2 linked regions of the Tamandua tetradactyla genome follow. The protein of the gene in region 2 interacts with the protein of the main gene of each other region in a pairwise test. Links are inferred from orthologs where the notes say so. Each region holds a gene or a part of one and is shown on either strand. Other genes may lie near its edges.

The links. The genes of interacting proteins can lie anywhere in the genome.
Region 1: the proteins of TASOR2 (region 2) and KLHL40 interact in binary tests that used the Homo sapiens proteins (3 or more experiments, as listed by UniProt). The two-hybrid records come from large-scale screens. The link is inferred for Tamandua tetradactyla from reciprocal best matches to the Homo sapiens genes TASOR2 and KLHL40.

Annotation. Positions count from the first base shown.
Region 1 is NC_135341.1:44,615,946-44,623,932, forward strand, and holds the start of KLHL40 (kelch-like protein 40), read right to left. Parts: upstream 3,190-7,987; 5' UTR 3,128-3,189; coding exon 1,958-3,127; intron 612-1,957; coding exon 451-611; intron 84-450; coding exon 1-83. UniProt on the Homo sapiens protein: Substrate-specific adapter of a BCR (BTB-CUL3-RBX1) E3 ubiquitin ligase complex that acts as a key regulator of skeletal muscle development.
Region 2 is NC_135333.1:58,365,144-58,373,346, forward strand, and holds the start of TASOR2 (protein TASOR 2), read right to left. Parts: upstream 3,060-8,203; 5' UTR 2,945-3,059; coding exon 2,940-2,944; intron 1,682-2,939; exon of another isoform or gene 903-1,681; intron 1-902.

The DNA of each region.
Region 1 (7,987 bases), on a different chromosome or scaffold from region 2:
CGTAGACTAGGTCCAGATGGGAGAGCACCGCGTGGCCGTACACAGAATAAGGCAGCGGGTCCGACTCGCCCCATTTGAACGACCTGGAGGGGACGAGAGGGAGGGCGGGCGTCCGGCTCAGGCTGCGCGCTCAGTCCCTCTCCCTCCAACCGCCCACCCACCCAACACCTATTCCAGGTGCACCAGATGCTTTACAGGAACTTCTCGGACTGCTCAGTTCTCGGCCCAGCCCCCCAACCGTGGCCATGGCGCCGCCCCTACCCAACCACGCCTCTGCCCCCAGACTCTGCCTGCTAACTCCCCAGGCCGCCACCCTACGGTCCCCAACCAGTCCCGGGTCTCCAGGCTCCCCAGGCTCCCAGCCGGGATTCTTAGCTCCGCCCTCAACCTCTCGACCCGCTTCCCAGCCCGGCCCTGGCCCCGCCCCCAGCCCGCCCCGCCCGCGCTCACAGCCGGTCGTAGCACAGGACCGAGTCCAGGCTGCGCTCGCCGTCCTTGAGCTCTCGGCCACCGACCACGTAGATGGAGTTGAGAGCCTCTCCCAGGCCGAAGAGGCAGCGCGGCGAGGGCAGCGGCGGCATCCCCAGCCACTCTGAATCCAGGTGGTCAAACTGCCGGCAGGGCCAGCCAGAAAGTTAGCCACTGCCCCCAAGCCCCCCAGCCCCAGCTCGTCCCCGGGCAGTCACCCCGGGTCACAGAGAAGTCTGGACCTCCAGGGTGTGCCAGCACAGCCTGTAGGTGGCTCCGGAGGCAGAGCCCCTCCTCCCTCCAGGCTAAGGGCAGCTGAGAACCCTGGGAGGGTATGTGATGGGGTAGGTGCTGGGAGAACACCATTATAGCACTGTGATGGGGACACCACGGGGCATAGCCGAGGAGAGGGGCTGTGGCACTGAGCTGAGTGCTGGGACCCTTCCCCAGTACCATTCCAGGACAACTGAGTCTTCCCTGCCCCCTGCTCGCCACAGGCTATCTTTTGTGTACATCCTCCACCCTATTCCTCTGACTAGGAGACTTCCAAATACAGCCCTGTCACTCACCCCTTAAAATCTTCAGGGTAAATTTGCCTCCCTGTCCACCTCAACAGCTTTATAATCAGTTAATAGTGGCTCCTCGAGCACTGTTCGGAGCGCATTACAAACAAACAACATTTCATCTAAACTTCAAAACAACTGCATCAGGCAGGAAGAATATTATCCCCATTTTACAAACAGAGGCCCAGAAAAATAATCTGCCCAGGCTGCTTGGCTGGTACTGGATGAAGCTGGGATTGGATTCCACCCCCACCCCAGTCCCACCGTAAGGCCTGTGAGCTTAATCAGGCCAGGCCCATTCCTGCCCATCTCTCTCTCTCTTGCTCATACCATTTTCCCTTGAGAAATACTACCACTCTCCCCTTCAGGTATCCAAATTCTGCCCAGATGGCAAGGCTCAAACCTACAGGACAGGTCTCCAGGAAACTATCCCTGCTGTCTGGGATACCATGATCACACCTCAACTTGAACTGGGCACCCCACTTTACCGGTTCTTCCTGGACCTTAGGTTCCCCATTTGTATAATGGGAGGACTAGACAGGATGTCCCTTTGCCTGGCACATTCTCTGTGTCAGGCTCCATTCTTGGGCATGGAGACCCTTCCCAGGAGCCCTGCACTGGCCCTGCTGCTTCTCCTTTTCATTATGCTTGACCCCAACCCATGTGCAGGGCCAGGGCTACCAAATGCTGGACCATCCTGGGGCTGCCATTCCCCCAAGACAGAAAACAAAAACAAAGTTACGTAGCTCGTTATCATTTGCATACAACTGTCCTCAACTTCCAGGCCCTCTTGTCTTCATTCTCACCCCAAAACCAGCATTATTCTCTGAAAAGCAGACATAGGCCCCTCTTGGCCCCCAAAGCTGCCCTCGTACAGACGCCGGCACGGGCTGCCCACCCCCGCGTCCCAGGGCTCGCGCAGGCACCTGCAGGAAGTAAGCGCTCATGGGGTCCTCCTTGTTGTCCTCGTTGTAGAAGAGGCCCCCCGCCACGAAGACCTGGTTCTCTTTGGTCACAAGGCTGACATGGTTCTTGGGGATCTGGGTGGAGAGGGAAGCCCAGTAACACTCATTGGCAGCAGGGTCGTAGGCCGCGGCACCCTCCTCGCTGATCATGAAGATGAGGTCCTGCAGGAACATGCCAAAGCGCAGGGTGTCATTGAGGATCCCAGGTAGGACGCGTTCAGCCTCCTCCTCGGCCTCCTCTTTGGCCTCAGCCTCGGTTTTGCCCTTGTCCGCCGCCTTGGTCCCGGCGGCGTCCTTCTCCTTCTCCTTGTCTTTCTTCTTCCTACGCAGCACGGTGAGGCGGCCCTCGTGCGCATCCTTCACCATCTGCACCTTCCGCAGCAGCTCGGGCTGGGCGCGCACCAGCGGGTGGCGCTCCACGCGGCTCTCCAGGAAGGCTCGCGGCAGCAGGCGGCAGCGCACGCTCTCGAAGACCGTGGGGAGCGAGCGCTGGCGCTCCGCCTGCGCCTCGGCGTCGCCGCTGCTCGCCCACCGCATCACAGCCTCGAACACGGCCTCCTCCTTCTCCACGTTGAGGCCGTCGCTGGAGATGATGGCGATCAGCTCGTCGGCCGAGAGTCCGAGGAAGTCGGAGTCGCGCGCCACGAGCGTGAAGCGTGCGCAGATGAAGTCGCGGGCGGCCACCGCGAGGCGCGCGCAGTCCAGCATGAGTCCCAGGCGGAAGACCGCCAGGCAGTTGGCGAGGCACAGGCGCTTCTGCAGGAACGACACGCAGATGGTGAAGATGGACGGGATCTGGAACCGGTGCGCCGCGGCGAACAACTCCTGCACGCTCCCCTCATCCAGCGCAATCTCCGACGTGTACAGGTAGTGCAGCACCTGGCCCATCACGTCGGGGGACACCTCCTCCAGGCGCAGCTCGCCGGCGCTCTCTGGCTCCGCCAGGAAGCGCGCCCGGAAGTAGGGGCTGCAGGCAGCCAGCACCAAGCGGTGGCAGGGGAACTCGCGCTCACCTGTCCGCACCACACAGTCGAGGAACTTGCCGTGGTCCAGCATGTCCTTGAGCCCCTCCTGCAGGAGCGTCTGCTGATACAATCGCTGCTCTTCGGCCTGCTCCAAGCCCAGAGCCATGGTGAGTGGCCTACGGTGGGGCGACCAGGCCGTGAGACTCCAGTCAGTGCTCTCCTGCCCTCCTGCTGCAGCGCGCTTTGTCTGTGCAGCTGTCCTACTGAGGCTATATATAGAGGTGGCCTCAGCCCTGTAAGGCGAGTCCTCTGACATCCCACAGGTGACGCAGAGGAGACAGCTGGACAGAGGCCCCCCTCCCGGAACAGCCTCGAGTCAAGCCCCAGGGCTCATGGGACGTGGGTGGGGTGTCTGGGCTCTCCCCTCAAAGATGAGGGCTTCATTGCCTCATTTCTAAATGGGGCATAGGATCAAGCTGGGATCCTCAGCACTTGGAAAGGGAAGCATAGAGGGCCCTTTTTAGGGATCTCCCTTCCTTCCTGCCCTCTGGGCCTTCCGTCCCGGGATGCCCATCTTCCTCTCTCAAGTGTCTTCCACTCGGGCCTTGTGGAGTGGAATACGTACAGTGTGCCTTCTTTTCCTGCTGAGTCAACTTGGGTATGCTATTCACCCTTTGGGGGCAGGTGTGGCCTCATCTTTAAATGGGAAGAACTTGACCCTTTCTGCCCCAGCTCTGAGCCCCTCCTTGCACTGCGCCAGAAAGCAAGAAGGTGTCTGAGATAAACAAGGTTGCCACTTTTCTGTAGGGTCTGGGGCAGGGCAGGTCATTCCATTGAGCCTCAGTTTCCTCCCCTACACAATGAGGAGCTGGAGGAGTTAGGCTCTAAGGGTCTCTGTTTAGTTCAGCTAAGGTTCAGAAGCTCTGGGGTTGTTTTCTTGGGAGTACATTGTTTCAGGGTCTTAAAATTCTAAGGTGTGAGACACACTAGAAAAATTATTTCCACAGAATTCTGATATTCTAGACTTTTAACCCCCCTTGGTTTTAACATTCTAGATGTTCGTGTTCAAAAAGTAACTCTCTAAAGTTTAATATTCCAAGACTTGAGCTGTCCGTGCTCGTTGCTCTTGGTCAGTCCTGGGCCTGGCCTCAGGACCCCCAAGTCCTGTCTACATCTGAGGGGTCAGTGTTGGGGCCTAGAATAGCTAGTCCCACTATCCACCCTGCCCTGGACTCCTGACACCAGCCTCCTACACATCTATCAGCCTGGGCCACCAAGATTAACTCGTACCCAAAGTGCCAGAGGCTGCAGCTGTGGGTTAAATTTAGCCCCCAGGGCATTAGGTGACTGTTGTAGGCTCTCTCCCTTCATTCCTCTGAGTCATGTGTTTATAGCCCAAGGGGGAAAGGAGTGGGTTTGGGAAGGGGGCCCTCGGGCTGGGTCAGGACTGAGTCAGCTCCCTGTGTCACCTCCTGCCCCTCCGGAGCAGCAGGACTGACCATCGCTCACTCACCCTACCTGGGCAGAGCTGGGAGCCACCATCTACCCTCCCAGAGGGGCACAGCACCTAGGAGGGCCCTGCAGGTAGTCCTGTCCATCTTGCAAAAGGGCAAGGGCTCATTCAGGAAGGGCAGTTGTTGGGCTTCCAGTCCAGCTCTGCCTGGGCCCCAGACTCCAGGGCACTGCCAGCAAGCTCTGTCAGTGCAGGTACAGGTCACACAGCTGACAGGTGGCTGAGCCAGGATCAGACACAGGTCTGGGCACCTCCAAAGACTGTGGGACTCTCTCCCTACTTTGCCATGTCCCAGGAATTTACAAAAATGTCCATTAATCTTTTCTCACTTTGAAAGACCAGGACAGAAGGTACTGACTAAACAATTAACTTATCTTTATCAAATGACTCAATGAGGTATTTTTATATGATGATGAATTCCATAGTGCTCACTCCCTACCAGACACTCCACTAGAATATTTATATGTTGCTCGTTCATTCATCAAGAACCTATTGTATGCACTCTTCTAAATGCTGGGGACTCGGCAGTGAACAAATCAGACAGGACTTCCTGGCTTCATGAAGCTAACATCCTTGAAGAAGGGGGAGAGATGGGGCACAAATAAATAGTTTTATAGGACATCAGGTGTTGATGTGGAAACAAGTAAAGCAGGGTGGGGACATGGAAAGTGTTAGGTGGAGGTGGTAACAATTTTAAATGGAATTGTCAAGAAGGACTCCCTGAAAAGGTTACATTTGAGCAGTTTAAACTATGGGGGAGAAGGATTCCAGGCAGAGGGGCAGCTCGAGCAAAGTGTGGCAGGAGAATTCCTGGCATGTTCTAGGAATGGCCAGGAGACTAGCAAGGGTGGAACAGTGCATGAGGAGATGAGTCAGAGGAGATGAGGGCAGAGAAGTGAGGCTGCGATGTGAGGATCATATGGCCATGACAAAAAAGAATGAAGTGGGAGGAATCCTTCTATGTAATATGTTAAGGCCTCACTGTATAGCTTCAGGAGTCAAGCAGTATTGTTTTGGCAGAGGGATAAATAAATAGATCCAATGGAATAGAATAGTAAACCCAGAAATGGCAATTTAACAGAGGAAGGGTAGTTTTTTCAGCAAATGGTGCTGGAGAAATTGGAAATCCATAGGCAAAAAAGGAGAAAGAGAAGAACCTCAACTTGAATGTCAGAACTTATACAAAATGGATCATGAATTTAAATTGTAAACATAATTATAAAACTTTTTGAAAAAACATAAGCAATCTTCAGTGTATAGGGCCAGGCCAAGGGTTCTTGGACTTAAAGCACAATCCATGTTCTATTTTGCTAGCTGCCAGAATGCAACACACCAGAGATGGGTTGGCTTTTAATAAAAGGGGATTTATTTCATTAAAAACATATAGTTCTTCAGAGGAAAGGCAGCCAACTTTCAACTGAGGTTCTTTTTTATACGGGAAGGCACAGGATGATCTCTGCTGGCCTTCTCTCCAGGCCTCTGGGTTCCAACAACTTTCCCCGCAGTGATTCCTTTCTGCATCTCCAAAGGCCTGAGCTGAGCTGCGAGTGCTGAGATGAGGTATGCTGAGCTGCTTGGGCTGTGCTACCTTGAGCTCTCATTTAAGCATACAGCCAATTAAATCAAACATCATTCATTGCAGCAGGCACATCTCCTAGCCGACTGAAGATGTAATCAGCCACAGTTGAGGTTCACATGCCATTGGCTCATGTCCACAGCAATAGAACTAGGTACCTTCACCTGGCCAAGTTGACACCTGAGTCTAACTACCACAATCCACAAAAGGAAAAACTGTTCAATCGAACCTCATCAAAATTAAAAACTTTTGCTCTGCAAAAGACCATGTGAAGAAGGTGAAAAGACAAGCTACAGACTGGGAGAAAATATTTGCAAATCATATATCTGACAAAGGACTATAGAACATACAAGGAACACTCAAACCTCAAAATAAAATCTAATTAGAAAATGGACAAAAGGCAAGAATAGGTATTTCACTGACCAGGACATATGTATGATAAATAACACATTAAACAAAACTCAACATCAGGAGCCATCAGGGAAATGCAAATTAAAACTGCAATGTGATATCACTAAAAGACCTATCAGAATGACTTAAAAAAGGTGACAACACTATATACTGGTGAGGATGTGGAGAAACTGGATCACTCATTGTTTTAGTTTGCGAAAGCTGACAAAATGCAATATACCAAAAGTGTGCTGGCTTTTACAATGGAGATTTAGTAATATAAGTTTACAGTTCTGAGGCCATGAAAAATGTCCAAATCAAGGCATCAACAGGCAATACTTTCTCCCCATAGACTGGCTACTGGTGATCTAGGACTCCTCTGTCACATAGCAAGGTACATGGTGACAGTCTCCTGGTCTTTTCCTTCTCTTCCTGGTTTCATTGCTTCCAGCTTCTGTCTTCAGTGGCTTTCTCTCTGTTTCTGTGATTTCCCTATGGTTTCTGTGTGCCCTTCTCTCCCAGCTTGTTTGGTTTTCTTTCTCAGCCTCTCTATATTTCATCTCTTAAAAAGGCCAATGACCAAAGAAAGAGATGTCTATTTGGTGCAAAATTTATATTTTTGGTGGTGCATTATCTAATTTAACTTGTATGGTTCATTTATTCAAACACCATAATTATAAGGAATCTTGAATGGGGTGTGAGATCTTGTTGGTTTGTACAGGTTAGTGTGATGCCCTGATACATCCCAGAGTAATTTGGGCAGAGAATAAAAAAGTATTTGTAAAGTCCCCATGGGGGACTAGGGAGAAAAGAGGAAATATTCAACTCCATATGGGGAGTTCCTGATATTCTCATAAGCAGTGGGGAGAACCCATTCAATAGGCTGAGCCCTTGATCTTGGGGCTCACCCCTAAGAAACTTATTCTTGCAAAGGAGATGCTCAGATTACTTATAATTATGCCTGAGTCACCCACAGAGAACCTCTTTGTTGCTCAGATGTGGCCACTCCCTCCTCAGTCAACTCAGCAGGTGAACTCATTGTCGTCCCCCTCATGTGGAACATGACTCCCAGGGGTGTAAATCTCCCTGCCAATGTGGGACATGACTCCCAGGGATGAGGGAGGGTTTTCTCATGAAGGGATTGAGAAAACCTTCTTGTCCAAAAGGGGGAAGAGAGAAATGAGACAAAATAAAGTTTCAGTGACTAAGAGATTTCAAACAGAGTTGAGAGGTTATCCTGTTCTAGTTTGCTAGCTGCCAGAATGCAACACACCAGAAATGGATTGGCTTTTAATAAAAGGGGATTTATTTTGTTAGTTCTTCAGAGGAAAGGCAGCTAACTTTCCACTGAGGTTCTTTCTTATGTGAGAAGGCACAGGGTGATCTCTGCTGACCTTCTCTCCAGGCCTCTGTGTTCCAGCAACTTTCCCCGGGGTGATTTCTTTCTGCATCTCCAAAGGCCTGAGCTGAGCTGCGAGTGCTGAGATGAGGAATGCTGAGCTGCTTAGGCTGTGCTACATTGCGGTCTCTCATCTAAGCACCAACCA
Region 2 (8,203 bases):
TAAGAATAAGAAAAAAAAAAAGATAAAAAACAAATAAACAATAGGGGGGGCATGGGGGTGTGGATGCGCTGGGTGTTCTTTTACTTTTATTTTTATTTTTTTTGAGTAATAAAACATTCAAAAATCTATTGTGATGATGAATGCATAGCTATATGATACTGTGAACCACTGATTGTACACTCTGGATGATTATTTGGTATGTGAATATGTAATATAGATAAAATAATTAAAAAAAAATTCAGTAGCTTGTTGTTGCACTTTACAATATAATCCACACTCCTTCGAGACATGTATAAGCTGGTCCCCTGCTTATCTCCTACACTTCATCTTGCTCCACCTTTCCCAGACTTACTGCCAAAGTTCCAGATACACTGATCTTTCAATTTCAAGGTCTTTCCTGTGCTAAGGGCTTAGTACACACCATTATTTCTGACTGGAATGCTCTTTCTCCAATACCAAATGTTTGGTAGTAGAAAATATACTTCTTTTCTACAGGAAGTTCAAAAATACCAACATAAAAAATTAAAAGTATAAATGCAGGGTGCTTGTATCCCAAGAAAATAGGAGTTTACTGTGGCTAGAAGTCAGGATGACCACACAAAATAATTAGACTTGACAACGCTTTCTCCAAAGATTTAATCTTTGCTAAGTTTTCATATATTATCACTAGCTTGCGTTTCCTTCCTTTCCCTGACTTTCATTACCAGAGTCATAAGAAGGAAACTTTAAAATGTTTTTTAAATAGCTCTTTCCACTAGCTTCAAACATTAAAGGGGAATCCAACTCAGACAAGAATGATACTTGCTGCCGGAGGCCAGCTCATGCATCCTTCCTTTTATTGTGAGGGCACCCAGCCCAAACAAAAATTACAAGGTTAACTCTATTCTGAGTTCCTGGTAAGGCTAATTCCTGCTTTGTTTAAAAAAAATAATAATACAGGTCTGTTATTCCTTTTTGAACATGCCTTCAAAGTGGAAGTCTTTGGCCATGAGCTCCTCTTCGACATCATCCAGTACCCACGGATTATCTGTCAGCTCCAAAGCTTCCACTGTGTCTTGAAAACTTTGTTACGGTCAGCAAGCATGACTGTTTCATGCATCATCTGTGACTGGTCAGTGGCATTACCTTGGCCCATTATCACAGAGTAAATGCTCAGAAGGACAAATACATTGAAAAGTACCAGGATGCAGAACTCACCCAGGGTATATCTAATATGAGTAGTTTGATTCCTTGCTGTAGCATAGGCTCAAAATGGAGGATTAGTGGAAATGGTACCTTGGTTGAGACAAAACCTGAGAATGTCATATTGATCTACCCAGCAATAAGAATCATAGGGATAACATTGGTTACATTCCCTTTCACTGTGTCTGTGAGCATAGTAGAATCAGTCATAGGAGAAGGTGGCACTATCTTCCTTTTAATTTTTTTGAAAAATACATCCTCTGGATTGTTGAAGTAACATTTTTGTGTAAGGACTGTTTGTAAATGTATTTTCCATTTTCCCTGAGGACTCATCTTCGAATTAGGACTTGACTATCAGACACTTGCTTCTTGGTAAGTTTCTTGTCACTCTGCAGAAGAATGGATTCGTACTGGTGGATCAAACCCTAGAAGAAGACGATGATAACAATGGGCAGGACCACCCAGAGCTGGAGTCAAGCAACAGCTCCAGTCTCACCATATTCACTGAGAGAAGGCCCTGGCTAGGGATTGTCATGCTTCTTCTTTCCAGGGTGCAGGGTCTTTGCTTTAAGTCCAACACTGTACTTTCTCATGCCTGCTGACCTGGCTGGCTGTGGAACTAGAAGCTGGTGACCTCACGCAATGCTCCCAGGTGTTTCTTCTAAAGCAGTCTTTAAAATTGACAATTATTTTTGTCAATTTACTTTTTTAGAAGGTGTGTGTCTGTTGGTGTGCGTGTCTGTATTCCCCACCAGAAAGCAGGGGCCAGAGAACCGATGTTGTGTTTGTCTTGTTCACCATTCCCCAAGTCCAGAAGAGCTTCTAGTACCACAGTAGATATTCAACAAAGTTATCTTGGGGTGGGGGAACTGTAGATAATTTCTGCTTTTTTTTTTTTTTTTTACAACTTTACGTATGATGTGAAATTTTAAGTAGGCATAAATATAATCTGGGGGAATAAAGCTATTTTCATTTTGAAGAAAAAGTAGAGGAAGAAATAGGAATAGTATTTCCCATGAATGAAAATAATAATACAGAGACCTATAAAGCCAAGCATCCCTAGTAAAAAAACAAACAAAAAAATCTACAGAATGTTTTCTCAGAAATTTAAAACTCCATGTGTTTTGCCATGTATACAAGTTTAAATGTGTTTCAAAGTCATGATAATCATACACAAATGATATAAAAATGAAGGTACTATTATTTGAAGTAAAAAACCTATTTGCAGTCACTGTTTTTCATTTCAAAACATGACCTAAAATATTCTGTCAACACACAAAAAACAAAGTGGTAATAAGTAACACTCTTTCTCCAGCAGTTCTGCAAGTTTCACTACTACCATAGTTTCACTTAACTTATCTGATGACTCAATGAGTAATGAAAGGAAAGGAGCTTTGTAAACGCTGAAATACCATTAAAAAACCTGCGGTCATTACCTGGCCTCAGCAGCACGGACAGACTTTGCCCTACCAAAGCTTTCACTCTATACACCCTGACCTTAAGGTAGGAAACTCTATGGCTTCTTTCTATTTCTTCCAATTTCCTTCCTACTCAGTGTTGTTGAGACAAGCCACCTCCATAGAAGTGTCAGCTTGTAGTCAGGTCAAACAGCCCCAAGTAGCAGGTGTCTAAGAGTGTCCCACAAATAACAGTCACAGAGGCAGGAGCTGGGTCTGGATTCTATTCTTATCAAAGACCACATTGCCCACCCCCCAAAGTGGGCGGCCCCCTCCCGGGTCAGCCCCTCCTTTCTTTACCTCATGATGCGTGGGGGGCGGGCTCTGCCTGTGCAGAGCGGCCAGCCCGCCCCCTTCCGCCTCCGCGAAGGCCAGCGGCTGCAGCGAGGGGCGGCGCGTGTGACGCCCAGGCAGCGGGCGGTGCCTTTTGAAAGTAAACATGCCAGGAGGCGGCCCCGCTCCACGAGAGGTAGTACGCAACGCTCCCTGCAGACTCCGCGGCGGCAGAAAACCAAGGCTGGACTTTCAGTTACGCTCCTCTCATATAGGATTTGAGAAGGAAGCAAAGTGTCTTTGGCCCTTTGTTTCTTTTAAGTCTCACGATAACCTGACTAGGTGGGTAATTTGATTTTTATTTGACAATTAGCATTCCTAAGCTTCAATTTCCTTAAGCATCTTGCCTGCAAGCTCCCGGTATGATACCAGATTCCAAATACCTGGCCTAACCCCAAACCCATGTTCTTTTCACTATGGTGACCCCCAATTTATTCTAACTCGTTCCTAGAAAACTGTTTCATTATCGTTGATGTAGCCTCGCCCGACATGGCTTCATATGACTCTATTTCAGTTTTTTTTATTTTCAAAAATAAAAGGCTTATTGAATATGTCTTTTAATATTTCCCTTAACTCCAGGAGATGCTGGTACCAGCACATGGGATAGGGTTTGGGTTCCCATCCTTCCACTGTCATGCAGCCCCAACAACTACGAAATTTATCCCTCCCCCCCCCCCCCAAATCGAATCCTCATTCCCCAAGATGAAGCATCTTGGTCCAATTTAAGGACACCTTTACTTTGGACTCATTAACATTATGTTTTAATCACGTAACCTAAGTTAACCAAGATACATTTTCTGCATCGTATCTGCATTGTTAGAGGAAAACCACCTAGATTTCAGAGGTTACTGCTATTGTGCTGTATATATAGAAAACAGGAAAATCTTAACACACAAAGCAAAGTTCTTAAAGAATTAAGTAGGTTATTGTCTATTTAAAGTAGCAAACGGAGTTTTTAGTATATCCAATGACAGAGAAATTTGGGATGCTATTTTTTAAAAATGAGTTATACCCAGGGATACAAGTGTAGTTCAGTGGCAGAATTCTCACCTGCCATGAGGGAACCCGAGGTCGATTTCTGGTCCATGCACTTCCCAAAAAACAAGCAAGCAAGCAACACAAACAAAAAAATTCAACAAATGGTCCTACAATAAGGGGATACTCAGAAGGAAAAAATAATGAAACATGACCCCACCACCCAGCATACAAAAAAAAAGTTATACCCAGACAGCGCCCTGGTTAAACCAGTGCTGCTACCCAGATGCTCCCGCCTCCCCTAACTTGCCCAGCCTTTATTGCCATGGCCATGTCCTCTCCCTCCCTTCCTGCCTCCATCCTTCTCCCTCTCCCATTACTACCTGCTCCAGAGACTCCAGCCTGAGAGGCCAGGTAGTCCAGGCCCTGGAGTAATGTGCTAACCTGAGGACAGAGGTCAGACACCATGCCTGGATCCCTGTACAGGGTGTGACTTCTCAGGGTGAAGCTGGGTCATGGCTGATGAACAGAGAGAAAAGCTCCCTAATCAAGTAGTGGGAAGGGAGCTCCCTAACCAATTGTGGGGACTCAGGAGGAGAGCATGATGCTTCCTCTGCTGAGGAATCTAGAAGTCCAAATCAAGGTGTTAGTGGGACCATGCTCCCTCTGATATCTGCAGGGTTCTGATGGTGACTTGCCAGAAATCCATAACATAACTGCTCCTCCATTACGTGGCTCTTTTCTGTTTCCTACCAATGGTGTCCAAACTTCCTTTCCTTATAAAGACCTAGTCATCCAGTCACATTGGAATAGAACCCATTCTAATCCAGTTTGGCCTCATTTTAACTAGTATCATCTTTCAAAGATCCTATTTCCAGACAGGATCACATTCACAAGACTGGGGATTAGGACTTGAACCTATCTTTTTTTGGGGGACACAATTCAATCCCTAATACCAGGCATGTAGTTTCTCTGGCAATATAATTAATTCAATTTAGTGAGCTTCCAGACCATTCCACTGAGAGTAAACAGCTGAAAATTGTGCCTTGTTATAGTATTGATGCAAAACAACTCTAGTCTTTCATTTACTGGTTTGAGCTACACTAGCCCCTTCTATTTCAAGAAAATGGCAGCCACTGTGAAACTGGAGAAAGTACTGGACTTGGGCGAAAGGATAACATTCTCCATCCTTGCTGACTCTGAATGACCAGGCATGACTCCTGCTAAGACTGGAACCAGTCTGAGGTACAGAAGCAGTTGGTCTTTATAACCTGACATAGTATACTGAAGAAAGCATCTTCCTTTGCAAAGCTGTATTCCCACTCCCGTCTATCTCTGCTTACTGACTACCTAGACTTACACAGAGTTGATTTTTCCCATGTATGACTTCGCTGAGAGAAGAAAGCGGCAGCCAGAAACTAACAATATTTTATGGTGGTACCTCTGAAAGTTCAGTATAGAATTACCATATGACCTGGCAATCCCATGTCTAGGTATATATCCAAAAGAACTTAAAGCAAGGACTCAAATATTTGCATACCAATGTTTATAGCAGCATTATTACAACTGCCAAAAGTTGGAAGCAACCTAAATGTCCATCAATAGATGAATGAATCAACAAAATGTGGTATATATACACAATGGAATATAATTCAGCCATAAAAAAGGAATGAAGTTCTGATACATGTGAATACATCATGTTGAGTAAAACAAGTCAAACACAAAAGGATAAATTACATATAATTTCACTCACATGAAATATCTAGAACATGCAAATTTATACAGACAGTTGTTACAGGTTACCAATAGTGAGGGAGGATAGGAAGTTACTGCTTAGTGGGTAGAGTTTCGGTTGGAGGTGATGAAAAGGTCTTGGTAATGGATGGTGCTGATGGTAACACAACATTGTGAATAAAATTAATGCCACTGAGTTGTACATCTGAAGTGGTTAAAATGGGAATTTTAACATTATATATAACCAAAAATAAAAATATTTTTAAAATACAAAAATAAAATAAGTTCTACCTATTTATTAAAACTTTTTCATTTAACTGTGGCTTGCTTTCTTTTGGATCTAATAATCATTTTTTTGAAGATTGTTTAATATTTGCAATATCTAATCTGACTGTAAAAAGTATTTGTGTGTATCAAACATGTTTATAATCTTACACCTATCTAATTTTGTTTTCTCTCTTGCTATACTGTGTAAAAGGTCAACAGAGTCCTTGGAGAACATATTTTCTTATACTTAAAATTATGCACTTTTGACTTTTTATATTAGAACTACTGTGTGTAAAGTAATTGACTATTATGGTTACTTTTCATCAAACTGGGTTTAATAATTTGTGCTTAAAGCATTAAACTAGCATCCTGCACTGAAATGGTTACATCATACTCATTACTGTACTTATAATTAGGATAGTGTTACATAGTTTTGTCCATCTTATAAGAAAATCCAAGAAATTAATTTCTCTTAGGTGCAATTATGTTTTAAGTCCCTCCTTTGGGTTCTCTTGATTATTACATATGACAAAAGAGAGTATGACATCTGATCCATGCCAGAAGAAAGGTGTTTTCTTAAATTGCCATCATGGCTAGATATATCCTACTCCAAATGTTCATGAGAATGGACTCAGAGAGAAATGGGAGATAACCACAGAGTGAAGCAGGTACCTCCACTGGCCAGACTAGGCCTCAGAGTGCATGTACATCAAATGTTTAAAAAAGGTCTACATTACCATGCCAAGGAGAGTAATAAGTCTTTATACAGAATATTAGCCAGGGATTTAGTTCCCCAATTAACTGTTAATCAAAATCTTATTAGGGGAGGGTGGGCGATGGTGGCACAGTGGCAGAGTTCTCGCCTGCCATGTCAGAGACCCGGGTTCAATTCCCAGTGCCTGCCCATGCTGGGGGGGAAAAAATCTTATTCAGTGAAAACTGAAAATATGTCCCAGACATAGGTAAATAGAATGTAAAAATGGAAATTCACAGTTCAGAAATTATAAATGATCAATTAACACATTTAAAACACCTCCTATCTACAGATTTAAGAATTCTAACAATCCTAAGCAAGATAAATAGATGTCACAGTGAAACAGCAGGAAGTTGAAGACAAATATTAAAAGCAGCCAGAGAAAAAGGAATTGACAGTCTGATAGCTGACTTCATATAGGAATAATGCAAGCCAGATGACAAAGGAGTGATTCTCGTCAATGTGTTAAAAGAAAATAACTGCTAACCTAACCTTTCATACTCAGCAAAAACATTTTCCAGAAACGAAAGTGATATAACGACATTTTCAGGTCAATAGAAACCGAGTTTAACATCATCAGATCTTCAATAAAAGCCATTCCAAAGGATGTACTTTAAGCAGAAGGAAAATATGCCTAAGATTAAAGAAGCAATGAAGAATGGAGAAAGTAGTAAAAATGTGGGAAATGTAAACAAGGACTGATAACAATAACATGTAAATCATGACAGGATTAAATGAAGTTAACGGTCTAAGGTTCTTGTATTGTGCGAGAGGAAGGTTAAAATATTGCTTAACTTTAGGTTTTGAAAAGTCAAACATGTATTCTTTCTAGTACAATCACGAAAAGAAAGTATATAACTTCTAAACTAGTAGATAGGAAAAACAATGCCGAAAGATCATATCAATATGAAAAGTAGCAAGAAAGAAGAGAAAAGAAATAAAGGACAGCCAGAACAGCACAAAATCAGAGCAGTTGCATTAACTGTCTGTCAATAGTGTTACTTACAGATAAAAGAAAATATTTTTAAATTGCTTTTTTAAAAATTCCAACAGATGCTATTTAAAAGATACATCTACCTATACAACTGCAGGTAAATATTTATCTCAAAATAAAAAGTTTAATAAATGAAAAAAAAAAACAACAACCCACAAACAAAGAAATAGACGATAATCACAAAGCCAAAACAGGACTGATAATATAACTGGCAAACCACTTGGGAAGATGGATTAAAAAGGGGGGGGGGGGGACACACAAATAGTCATTATCACAAATAAAACAGAAAACACAATTACACATGCCTCAGACACTAAATGGGCACAGCTCTGCGCCAATAGATATTAAATTTTAGACTATAAAATAAAGTCCTAGAAAAATCTAACTTGCCAAGACTAACACAAAATTTTTAAAAAATGTAAATAATCATATAAACACTAAAGAAATTAAATCATTAGTTAAAAAAATCTTCCGCAACAAACCTTTAGACCCAAGTATATTCACTTG